Linked DNA regions of Saccharomyces cerevisiae S288C. The gene in region 1 interacts genetically with each later gene. Each region holds a gene or a part of one and is shown in the gene's direction. Other genes may lie near its edges. The genes, in order: YDL241W, TCA17, ADE2 and ICS2.

The links.
Region 2: mutations in YDL241W (region 1) and TCA17 together harm fitness more than expected from each alone (negative genetic interaction), as found in Saccharomyces cerevisiae (one large-scale study listed by BioGRID).
Region 3: mutations in YDL241W (region 1) and ADE2 together harm fitness more than expected from each alone (negative genetic interaction), as found in Saccharomyces cerevisiae (one large-scale study listed by BioGRID).
Region 4: mutations in YDL241W (region 1) and ICS2 together harm fitness more than expected from each alone (negative genetic interaction), as found in Saccharomyces cerevisiae (one large-scale study listed by BioGRID).

What each region holds. Positions count from the first base shown.
Region 1 is NC_001136.10:18,898-21,568, forward strand, and holds YDL241W (uncharacterized protein), read left to right. Parts: upstream 1-1,737; coding exon 1,738-2,109; downstream 2,110-2,671. Other genes in the region: YDL242W (uncharacterized protein), read left to right, coding at 62-415.
Region 2 is NC_001137.3:64,149-66,714, reverse strand, and holds TCA17 (Tca17p), read left to right. Parts: upstream 1-1,547; coding exon 1,548-2,006; downstream 2,007-2,566. Other genes in the region: FRD1 (fumarate reductase), read left to right, coding at 1-1,330. UniProt on the Saccharomyces cerevisiae protein: Required, together with the TRAPP II subunit TRS33, for TRAPP II complex assembly or stability, and for proper Golgi localization of TRAPP and the Rab GTPase YPT31.
Region 3 is NC_001147.6:563,911-567,883, reverse strand, and holds ADE2 (phosphoribosylaminoimidazole carboxylase ADE2), read left to right. Parts: upstream 1-1,692; coding exon 1,693-3,408; downstream 3,409-3,973. Other genes in the region: AFI1 (Afi1p), read left to right, coding at 1-1,007; GTPase-activating protein RGA1, read right to left, coding at 3,691-3,973.
Region 4 is NC_001134.8:553,021-556,274, reverse strand, and holds ICS2 (Ics2p), read left to right. Parts: upstream 1-1,964; coding exon 1,965-2,732; downstream 2,733-3,254. Other genes in the region: SLI15 (Sli15p), read left to right, coding at 3,075-3,254.

The sequences.
Region 1 (2,671 bases):
TCTTGGAACGAGGTCTGCTTACTAATTTTATGTTGACGGTTGAAAGCGGATTTTAAAACGTATGAATTTAGAAGAGAGCCAATCAAATAGGGGTACGCTTAATATTAAAAAAATATTAGTAATTGTTTGTATGACGAATAAAATTTGTAAGCACCTGATCCAATCCTTATTATTGAGCAAGAGACGTCTTGTTTCTGTACTCTTTGATAACTATCAAGGCGACATGAAACTAAGGTCATCTCCATCTGCCATTCCTCTAGTTCCGTCAACGAAAATTCTTCAAGCTATGGAGGCCCGGAACGACATTGTTGACAGTCTGATCATCAATAGTCACGCAACGGAAAGTGATCGCCGGACTTTAGGAGACCATGAGGTTAGACAATGTGAGGATACCAACTTCGGCTTCAAAATTTGATACAGGTTAATTTTGAAGGCAACATTTAGGTTCGGCCTTATTTAAAAAAACCTTCAGGTACGCGTTCAAGATCCCATTTTAAAGGTATAGGCAGATTGCACTATTTTACCGGCAAATGTGCGAATATCGAAACTGGAAGATGTTTTCAAGAAAATTGATTTAAGATCCATTTGTCGTGTTTAGAGTTCTCATTGTTCTGGTCAATGATTTCAAACTCAAAAGGCACAAGAAACTTACAAAATTTGTTTCTTATGAACATTACGCCATGTTCTTTGCGAGCATGTGCTATACAGTCTTGCTAGAAAATGGCCCTATAATTAGAAAGCTCAAAAAATAACCCAATGCTGCATCGATTTTTGGAGAAAGGGGGTCAATCATCATCTATCTTCATAAATAACGAGTTGCAGAAAAATTGGAAACTGGTTGATTTTGAAAAGTTTTCATTTTTCTGGCAACAAATTATAGCTACAAAAAAAGAAGTTATGGCGCATAAGATGCATCAATATATGGTGTGACCAGATTGGACGTAACTAGTACTCATGTTATTATTCATATCCTTCATTTTTCCTTCTTTTCTTCTCCTTCTCGAACAGTAACTTCAGATTGAAAGACGTGAGGATGCTTTAGAATGCACATTAAAATTAATATACTACTGGCCTCTTGTGTTTGTCATTGGCTTCTATTTTCAATAAAACATCCAGACAACCCTGCTGTTAATTTTGGAAAAAAAATTTCGCCGATTCTAATCATGTGACTCCTTTTCCCCAGGCAATACCGGAGAAAGCGTTCTATCTCAAACTATATAATTTGCGCTGCTCGTCTCCAAGCCCATGCTAGTGTTTACTTTCGGTTGTAAAAGGTAACTAGAAGTTTTAACGCAAGCATTGTATTATATTTTCCCACAATTGCTCTTAAGGACCTTTTTTTTTCTTGCGTGATCCTGCACTATTGAAAAGTCTTTATCAAAAATAGATGAAACTTTTTCAGGGTTCAACATTTAGAGGCTTTTCTCATATTCTTTACTCAGTTGCCTGCGAAGACCCTTCTGCCCGCTGCGCATTTTCTTAGAAAATCAAAAAAATTGCCTTTTCATCTTTTACCTTCCGAGTTGAATATGTTGACTATTTGCAAACAGGCGTATGATTGTCGTATATAACAGGGCACTTTCGGCAGTGAATCAATAGGAGGCGTATAAGAAAAGCCAATTAGTACCTATATATATATATATATATATATATATATATATATATTCCTTTATTATAATTCCTATCAGCGATTTTTGCATCACACCCAAGAAAAATCTATAATAGAGACACAAAAAAATGAACGTAACTGAAAATGCTCTATTGTTTAAGTGCGGTAGCAAGGGCTATATTAATCAAACCTATACGCCGACAGAAATTTATAATTGTGGGGTAGCTGAAGGAAAGAAAACTGCTAAAGAAAAGAACCCAACTTATTCAATTTTTTATGATACATTTCTCACTGGGCAGCCTGCTGAAAGTCCTGAAACGTTTACGTGTGGTTCGCATGGCTTCACAAATGCGAGTTATGTGGCAAGCGACTTTTATGCATGTGGTTTTCTGCAAGGGAAAGGTACAGAAACCAATGCGGGAATACATAATACAAGGCCTTCTCATTCTCTCGCCAAATTTACCATACTGTTCATGCTAGTGTTGTATACAATTGTCTAATTCTCAAGGTATGACACTTTGGATTGGTGGTCGCAGTAGCCACCATATAATTTTTTATCGTTTCTACATATAATACGAGACAGTCAGACAGAACTTTGGGTCGCCTGAGAAGAAAGACTATAAAAATGTAACCCGTCAGTAGGACTCATCTTAAAACAGTGGGTAATTTACTAAGGAGGCTGGAAAAACTGCGATAATCGGCTTATAGTACATATATATAGAATAATCATTAATCGAGCCTTTACCGCGAAATTCATGGATTTCTCAAAAACAAAGGTGCAATTACATGTTAAGCACCGAATTTCTATGCGAAACAGGTCCGTCTCATCAGTCATAGCTTTCCAAGTATATAAAACTTGAACGCAAAAGTGCGTCATCGACGCCTTTTTTTGCGCAAGGATTGTTACTATTCATTTAATGAACTCTGATGTCTTAATAAGCCAATGGTATCCATAAGTGAAGGTGAAGTCTACTGTGTTACATTAGCAAGTCAGAACTCCTATACGATACAGTATACTGCATTATGGGCACTAAAATAATTTAGATTATAGAAAATATCGAT
Region 2 (2,566 bases), on another chromosome or scaffold:
CCCTGTAACCATCCTCGAAAAGGCTTCCTCGATCGGTGGGAACTCTATCAAGGCCTCCAGTGGTATTAACGGTGCTTGCACCGAGACTCAACGTCACTTCCACATCGAGGACTCCCCACGCTTATTTGAAGATGACACCATCAAGTCTGCTAAAGGTAAAGGTGTCCAAGAATTAATGGCTAAGTTGGCCAATGATTCTCCCCTGGCTATTGAATGGTTGAAAAACGAATTTGATTTGAAATTGGACCTATTGGCTCAATTGGGTGGCCACTCTGTGGCAAGAACTCACAGATCGTCTGGGAAGTTGCCTCCAGGTTTCGAAATTGTTTCTGCCTTATCTAACAATTTGAAGAAATTAGCTGAGACTAAACCAGAGTTAGTTAAGATTAACTTAGACAGTAAAGTCGTAGACATCCATGAAAAGGATGGCTCCATTTCTGCTGTAGTGTACGAGGACAAGAATGGCGAAAAGCACATGGTGAGTGCTAACGATGTCGTTTTTTGTTCTGGAGGGTTTGGCTTTTCTAAGGAAATGCTTAAAGAATACGCACCCGAACTGGTGAACTTGCCAACAACAAACGGGCAACAAACAACTGGTGATGGTCAAAGGCTTCTGCAGAAGTTAGGCGCTGATCTGATTGACATGGACCAAATTCAAGTTCATCCAACTGGGTTCATTGATCCAAATGACCGTAGCTCAAGCTGGAAATTCTTGGCTGCCGAATCCTTAAGAGGTCTTGGTGGTATCCTATTAAACCCTATTACCGGTAGAAGATTTGTCAACGAATTGACCACAAGAGATGTAGTCACTGCAGCTATTCAAAAGGTTTGTCCTCAAGAGGATAACAGAGCACTATTGGTTATGGGCGAAAAAATGTACACAGATTTGAAGAATAATTTAGATTTTTACATGTTCAAGAAACTTGTACAGAAATTGACATTATCTCAAGTTGTTTCTGAATATAATTTACCAATCACTGTCGCCCAATTATGCGAGGAATTGCAAACATACTCTTCCTTCACTACCAAGGCTGATCCGTTGGGACGTACCGTTATTCTCAACGAATTTGGCTCTGACGTTACTCCAGAAACTGTGGTTTTTATTGGTGAAGTAACACCGGTTGTCCATTTCACCATGGGTGGTGCTAGAATCAATGTCAAGGCTCAAGTCATTGGCAAGAACGACGAAAGGCTACTAAAAGGCCTGTACGCGGCCGGTGAAGTTTCTGGCGGTGTTCATGGCGCCAATAGGTTGGGTGGTTCAAGTTTGTTAGAATGCGTTGTCTTTGGGAGAACCGCAGCTGAATCTATTGCCAATGACCGCAAGTAACGAATTTTATAAATGAATCATTTCTAAACGATTTTTTAATAGTATATAAGTAGTATTAATATTATTATTATTTTTTTTTTTTTTTTTTTTTCACTTTCGAAGTTCTGCCGGAAGAGCTCATCGACGGCCAAGAAACATTTTACATAAAAGTTATTGAGTTGAAAATTGAGTAAATATTCTCTCCAAAAATCAAATTGTACGTTTATATCACCAAACTATGAGCTTGAGGCCTTGCTTCGTATCATTGATAGATGAATCTGATAAACCTATATTGATTTACGTCCCTAATGAGGCGGAGAATGAGATGAATGATGTACTCAAATATAACGTGCTTTCTAACATATCGTTAGATTATTTTGAAAGTGCTTTGGTTGAATGGCATTCTTTAGATTCCAAACCTCTTCTGAAGTCAATTTTTCAATTGGAAGGTGTCTCTGTATTTGCTATGTTGATTAAGCAGACGGGCCTGAAGATTGTCATTGGATTTGAACAAAAAAGCCTAAGTGGAGCTGATGATGAATTTGAAGCAATCAATCAGATTTTCGAAACCGTAAGAAAAATCTATATACGTGTCAAATGTAATCCTTTACTTGTTAGCGGTGACGAAAAGTCCATTATAAAAAGCTTGGAAAGAAAATTTGATGAGTTGTTTATTTCAACTGAAGTTGAATTATAAATGATAATTTATTAGTCGATTCTTTCACGAATGAAAGCAAAATTTAATGTCACTGCTTTGGAGTGAGAGCGATTCAGAGAAGTTATTAATGTCTAATATGTCCAACTTGGTGACAGTTTCGCCTTGCCTAATTAGCGGGGATCAGGTGCCGGTAGTATATCTCAGATGACCGTGACAATCAAACTTTCTACTTCATTCAAGTGACTGTCAATTGTCATGCTGTTCATGAATAAATAAGATACGGAGACAATTAAGGCGATCGCTTTGACTCTACTGCTAACGAAAATTGTCCGAATTGAACAGATGTGGAAGCAATCACTATACGTTACTTCATAATGAAGATATTTGTTGGCTTTCCGAGATATAGACTGATCTTTGTCACTTCATATCCGGCACGGCAATTTTTACATGGGATGGCTCGTCATAAAGATACTGCGACCTTTGGAAAGTCTGAAATAAGTGCTAGGTTATGGTTACAACGAGAATTGACAGATATGATGTGATTGTTCACGTATGTACGTATAAAGATATTTATACTACCAAAAAAAAAAAAAGGGTTT
Region 3 (3,973 bases), on another chromosome or scaffold:
TAAAAGATGAATATATCATGTTTTATAAAGATTTTTTCATTTTCCCGGAGTTCTTTGATTATTTTACACTGCATAGTATTGAACTATTGTCTAACTTGGATAATTGTTTATTTAGCTTAGGAAACACATGCCAGTTATTTTCCACAGAGCAAATATATTCCCAATTAAGCCAAATATTGGACATTGTTAAAGAGCTGTTTCGCATGGTATCGGTAAGCAGGACAAACATTGAGAAGTTTTTAAACGCTTGTTTGAACTATTCTCCGTTCAAAATATTACCCACAGCTCAGTTACACGGTGATAATATTTCTAGGTGGAGTTTTGAAAGCGAAGTGCGTCAGGGTTTCGATAATTTTAACAGCTATATGGGCATCGAAAAAGATCCCCACGGTGTTATAGTATCAGCAATAGATCTTTTTACTCAAATTTACAGTTTTGATATCTTGGCGTTTTTCCTCACATTTATTACAAAAGAAAGTGGGCAGGATTTGCCCTTCACAAAATCTCTGTCCAGGAGAAGAACGTATTTGACCAGAATTGCTCAATCTTCTTCATTGAGACAGTTTTTACAACTGAGTACACGCCCTAATATAAGGATTCTGGGAGGTAATGGGCAGGGTACTGGAAATTCCAATTATCCCGAATTTACAAACGCATCCTCAGTCATCTCACCCAAGCTAAGGGCTTCTCCTCTACTAGAAAGAAGGGCGTCAAAAATCTGCTATGCTATTACGAAATTACTCTATAGGTTAGAATGTCATCCCATAGGTATGGCCCTTTTAAAGAAGTATCTCCACAATCAATTGCGAGAAGCCTATCTAGAATCAAAACGACACTTTATTTCCAAAAAGGGAGATTCGACCAACACTTCCTCTACCATTGCATCATCATCTTTCGCTGGCGCATCTGTTCCTCTATCTTCAAACGAATCAGGAATGCTAAACGGCTTGAAGCAAATTAACGAACAACAAGAATCTACATTAGAAACCACTCAAAAGGAAGACTAGTAACGCCGTATCGTGATTAACGTATTACATAAGTTACAGGATTCATGCTTATGGGTTAGCTATTTCGCCCAATGTGTCCATCTGACATTACTATTTTGCATTTTAATTTAATTAGAACTTGACTAGCGCACTACCAGTATATCATCTCATTTCCGTAAATACCAAATGTATTATATATTGAAAGCTTTTGACCAGGTTATTATAAAAGAAACTTCATGCTCGAAAAAGATCATTTCGAAAAGTTGCCTAGTTTCATGAAATTTTAAAGCAGTTTATATAAATTTTACCTTTTGATGCGGAATTGACTTTTTCTTGAATAATACATAACTTTTCTTAAAAGAATCAAAGACAGATAAAATTTAAGAGATATTAAATATTAGTGAGAAGCCGAGAATTTTGTAACACCAACATAACACTGACATCTTTAACAACTTTTAATTATGATACATTTCTTACGTCATGATTGATTATTACAGCTATGCTGACAAATGACTCTTGTTGCATGGCTACGAACCGGGTAATACTAAGTGATTGACTCTTGCTGACCTTTTATTAAGAACTAAATGGACAATATTATGGAGCATTTCATGTATAAATTGGTGCGTAAAATCGTTGGATCTCTCTTCTAAGTACATCCTACTATAACAATCAAGAAAAACAAGAAAATCGGACAAAACAATCAAGTATGGATTCTAGAACAGTTGGTATATTAGGAGGGGGACAATTGGGACGTATGATTGTTGAGGCAGCAAACAGGCTCAACATTAAGACGGTAATACTAGATGCTGAAAATTCTCCTGCCAAACAAATAAGCAACTCCAATGACCACGTTAATGGCTCCTTTTCCAATCCTCTTGATATCGAAAAACTAGCTGAAAAATGTGATGTGCTAACGATTGAGATTGAGCATGTTGATGTTCCTACACTAAAGAATCTTCAAGTAAAACATCCCAAATTAAAAATTTACCCTTCTCCAGAAACAATCAGATTGATACAAGACAAATATATTCAAAAAGAGCATTTAATCAAAAATGGTATAGCAGTTACCCAAAGTGTTCCTGTGGAACAAGCCAGTGAGACGTCCCTATTGAATGTTGGAAGAGATTTGGGTTTTCCATTCGTCTTGAAGTCGAGGACTTTGGCATACGATGGAAGAGGTAACTTCGTTGTAAAGAATAAGGAAATGATTCCGGAAGCTTTGGAAGTACTGAAGGATCGTCCTTTGTACGCCGAAAAATGGGCACCATTTACTAAAGAATTAGCAGTCATGATTGTGAGATCTGTTAACGGTTTAGTGTTTTCTTACCCAATTGTAGAGACTATCCACAAGGACAATATTTGTGACTTATGTTATGCGCCTGCTAGAGTTCCGGACTCCGTTCAACTTAAGGCGAAGTTGTTGGCAGAAAATGCAATCAAATCTTTTCCCGGTTGTGGTATATTTGGTGTGGAAATGTTCTATTTAGAAACAGGGGAATTGCTTATTAACGAAATTGCCCCAAGGCCTCACAACTCTGGACATTATACCATTGATGCTTGCGTCACTTCTCAATTTGAAGCTCATTTGAGATCAATATTGGATTTGCCAATGCCAAAGAATTTCACATCTTTCTCCACCATTACAACGAACGCCATTATGCTAAATGTTCTTGGAGACAAACATACAAAAGATAAAGAGCTAGAAACTTGCGAAAGAGCATTGGCGACTCCAGGTTCCTCAGTGTACTTATATGGAAAAGAGTCTAGACCTAACAGAAAAGTAGGTCACATAAATATTATTGCCTCCAGTATGGCGGAATGTGAACAAAGGCTGAACTACATTACAGGTAGAACTGATATTCCAATCAAAATCTCTGTCGCTCAAAAGTTGGACTTGGAAGCAATGGTCAAACCATTGGTTGGAATCATCATGGGATCAGACTCTGACTTGCCGGTAATGTCTGCCGCATGTGCGGTTTTAAAAGATTTTGGCGTTCCATTTGAAGTGACAATAGTCTCTGCTCATAGAACTCCACATAGGATGTCAGCATATGCTATTTCCGCAAGCAAGCGTGGAATTAAAACAATTATCGCTGGAGCTGGTGGGGCTGCTCACTTGCCAGGTATGGTGGCTGCAATGACACCACTTCCTGTCATCGGTGTGCCCGTAAAAGGTTCTTGTCTAGATGGAGTAGATTCTTTACATTCAATTGTGCAAATGCCTAGAGGTGTTCCAGTAGCTACCGTCGCTATTAATAATAGTACGAACGCTGCGCTGTTGGCTGTCAGACTGCTTGGCGCTTATGATTCAAGTTATACAACGAAAATGGAACAGTTTTTATTAAAGCAAGAAGAAGAAGTTCTTGTCAAAGCACAAAAGTTAGAAACTGTCGGTTACGAAGCTTATCTAGAAAACAAGTAATATATAAGTTTATTGATATACTTGTACAGCAAATAATTATAAAATGATATACCTATTTTTTAGGCTTTGTTATGATTACATCAAATGTGGACTTCATACATAGAAATCAACGCTTACAGGTGTCCTTTTTTAAGAATTTCATACATAAGATCACTTATTATACATACATACATATCCAGTAACAAGAAGCAAGGAATAATTACCTGCTTAAGTCTGCGATTAAAAAAATAACGTTTCGATACAGTTCATATAAGGCGGCTCAATGCAGAACCGAGGATAGCGCTACGTCAGGATATCTTTGTAGTTCCCAAATATAAATGCGACAATATAGTTTCTTTCTTTCATATCAATAATATCCTTTTCTCCACTGAAATCACGAATCAAACCTGGAGCAAAAACTAAAGCCAAATTATAAAGCGTCATTCGATTCCAGTGACTGTACCGTGTAACCTTTTCTATATGTTCACTCAGTACTCTTAACACCCTATAATGTTCCCTTGGAAGGTCTTCCAATATGTTTTTTAAAGCGCTCTTGCTCGACATATAAGTGTCCGAATTCTTTGCT
Region 4 (3,254 bases), on another chromosome or scaffold:
TTAAAGTGTGAAGAGTATAGTCTATAGGACCCTTATAAAGAAGGGTTGCTATATATATATATATCCACAACTATACTCCCTTTCTTTCGTATATCTGAAGGTATCCTACTACTTGAAACAAACTTGAAGAATGGTTACTGAACAAAGGACAAGCATAAACACTCCAAGGCAAGGCGATACAAAAAACACCAGCAGGAATAAGATGATTGATGAGACATCCTAAGTCCAATAGAAGAAACAAGCGAGAAATAGCGGAACCAGGAAACCGAAGTTGAAGGAAATTCTTTCTTTCAATTAAGCTTTTTGTTACCATTTAGGAAACTTCCACGGTGTCATAATTGTGTTTTGTTTGTTTACTTCTGCAAGTTAATGAAAATCCTGGCGGACGACAGCCAGTAATGGCCGGAGAGTGCTTTATTTTGCCCAGCAAAAAAATTTTGCGAGTGTAACAAAGAGCGCGAGAGCAGACTACCACTAAGAAAAGCTTCGGGCAATGCGCAGCAAAAAATAGAAAAAAATGAGCAAAAAAGAGAAACATATTTTAACATGGTCTCCGTGCCTTCGGCGTACCCAGACAATTACGGTTAACACCCACAACGTCAAACAAGATAATATGTTCCACGCTTCGGACTAGAAAGTGACATATCACATGTATGGTAGTATCGTAGGTATAACATCCTTCCGCCATCAAACCCTTGTGGCCTATGAGTGCCTATGCAGGTAATTGCTCCAATAAAGATTAAGCAATTTTTTATCCCATAATTAATTGTCGCCAACCCAACCGAACCAATCCTTTACAATTTTTCACCTTACGCCATAACAAAAATGAGACAACCCCGCCACCTACTACTGATGCAATTATTAACACGTTTTCATCCGTTTATATTTCTCTCCGGCCGTTCAGCACCGGCTTGACCAGCCGGTGCTGAGGACAAGAAAAACACAGCGAAAAAAGGTGGGAGAACGAAGCTTCCGCAATTCTCACACACCAAAAAATGAGTTACCGGCCGTCTCTTCTTTTGCCCCTCGCATATAATGGGATTGCGAACGGAGAACGACAGCAATATAACAAGCGTACGTGATCCCTTTCATTCTGTTATATTCGAGAATAGTTGTTGACAGTGGAGATAACTCCGAAAATATCATGAAAAAGAGGGTTATTTCCGTTCGTCGGGACATTGCTGTAGAGCTCTTCAATGGCCACAACTTGGGAGCGTTAATATGCAATCAAGTTGTAGGGAAGATTATATCTCTCCAGGGATTATTACCTGGGACACAGAGCTCTTTTCCTTATCTCATCTCACGCATCTAGACCCTGCTAGCCGTCGTTTCTTATTTGAAGCGTTAATCACCCTCACTTTTCGTCCGTAGCACGTAAAAAAGAAAAATAGGGTACCGTTTACCTGTCGTTAATATGCAAGTCATTAACAATCCAGCCCAGTACTTTATTTGCTATGGCACGGCATAGGCGCAGGGAGTTCACGATTTGGTCATCAATGATTATCACGATATGGGGGTCCTTATGATCTTGATGTTCTTTCAACTGCTCTTTGTTTCTTTTTTTTTTGTACGACAGTTTATGTGTTAAAGAACACATCCACTCCAATTTTGGGTCGTTTATACTTTTGTTTCGCTAATCTTAAGCCAACCTTGAGTTTATACCTAATTATATGCCACGTTAATGCACAAAACCCCTCGTAATAAACTTTCCTTGGAAGACTTTCTTTTTCTATTCGACGCATTTGGTTACATATCTGTTGGGAAAGAGCCCTTCGACTGCAAGTCCGGCATCAAGAAAGCTTGACATCCAAAGAAGCATTTAAGTATAAATAAATGAGACCCATTCTATCTTCTCAAATAAATCTTTTACAAATATGTGAACGTCAAAGCGCATACTTAATAAAAATTTATACTCTACACCACCTTCGTTATTACTTCACTGAAGTTTCCCTTTCCAGCAAGATATGGGCAAATTTGAGCAAAAAGAAAGAGAAAGAATAAGCACATTTAGTTTTCCTACTACGGGCAGTCAATCTAGTACATCCATTAAATCACTTGGCAGCCCACTCTATGGACGTTTCAGCTCTCTCTCTTCAACAGAATCTCAGTTCGATAGCAGCAAACAACCCCATGAGTACGAAAAGAGCTTTTATTTTGAAGAGTCTCAAGGCGAAGCTCTGTTCAACAAGCTGAAGACCTACTCTTTCCCTGGAGACAAGGATGGTGTGAAAACGAGGAGAAATTCCTCCATATGTCCAAGAAAGCCTAATGCGGTATCACCTTTAAGGGTAGAAAGTAATGAATTATCATCACATTCGCATTCACGTTCATTATCACACGAACTTACAAAGCCTTCAGGGCGAAGGAAAAGTTACCACAGAAAAAGTCATGCAATCTCATTCAGCAGGTCTTGTAAGCCAAATTTCATTGACGGGTACGATTCTAATTCAAGCATAGGCGTCAATTCAAGAAAAACTTCATTGGCAAGTTCTTTCTTGGACAAAGAATATCATTCTTCACCGGATACTTCATATACCCACCAAATGTCCCCGAAAAACACAATCATGAATACCAATGAACAATTAAGAAGAAACGCAAGCGGTAGATTCGGGAGTTTGAAAGAATTCGCTGAAAAAAATCAGATAAATATTGAGGGCAAAATTTTTGCTCATAAAGTGGAAACTGGAGACATATTGCAACCACTAATTGACTTAGATATTGACAATAAATGACTGGATCATTTGTCTCGCATTTTTTTTTTTCGTTTGTTTTGATAAATAAAGGACTTAATGTTAGTTTTGATAATGTTAAATGAATATATAAAAATAAACCATGTAAAGAGTATTTTGTTACGCTGTTTCGTTATAGCGTTATGTCAGTGTTATTATTTCTTATACGCGGAAAAGCCTGATCCATTCTGTTCTGAAACCGATCTTCATATTTTAAATTTCGCGAATTAACTAAAAAAAGAAAACAAACAAAAACTCGTTTCAAGTATTGCCAATGATACAAACAAAACGTTTCAAAGTATCTCCTCAACTGACGGACTTTGAAAGAGCCCGAAGATTTAAACAATGGACTGGGCAATCAAAGCAGCTAGGAAGAAAACTCAAAGGAAGCCAGGCTCTACCCGTTCAATCATAGAAACCCTCGATGATCTAAATAATCTAACAACAGATGCACATTCAGAAATAAATCAACGATTGTACGAAAGTAGTGAATGGTTAAGAAATAATGTTTATATGAATACACTC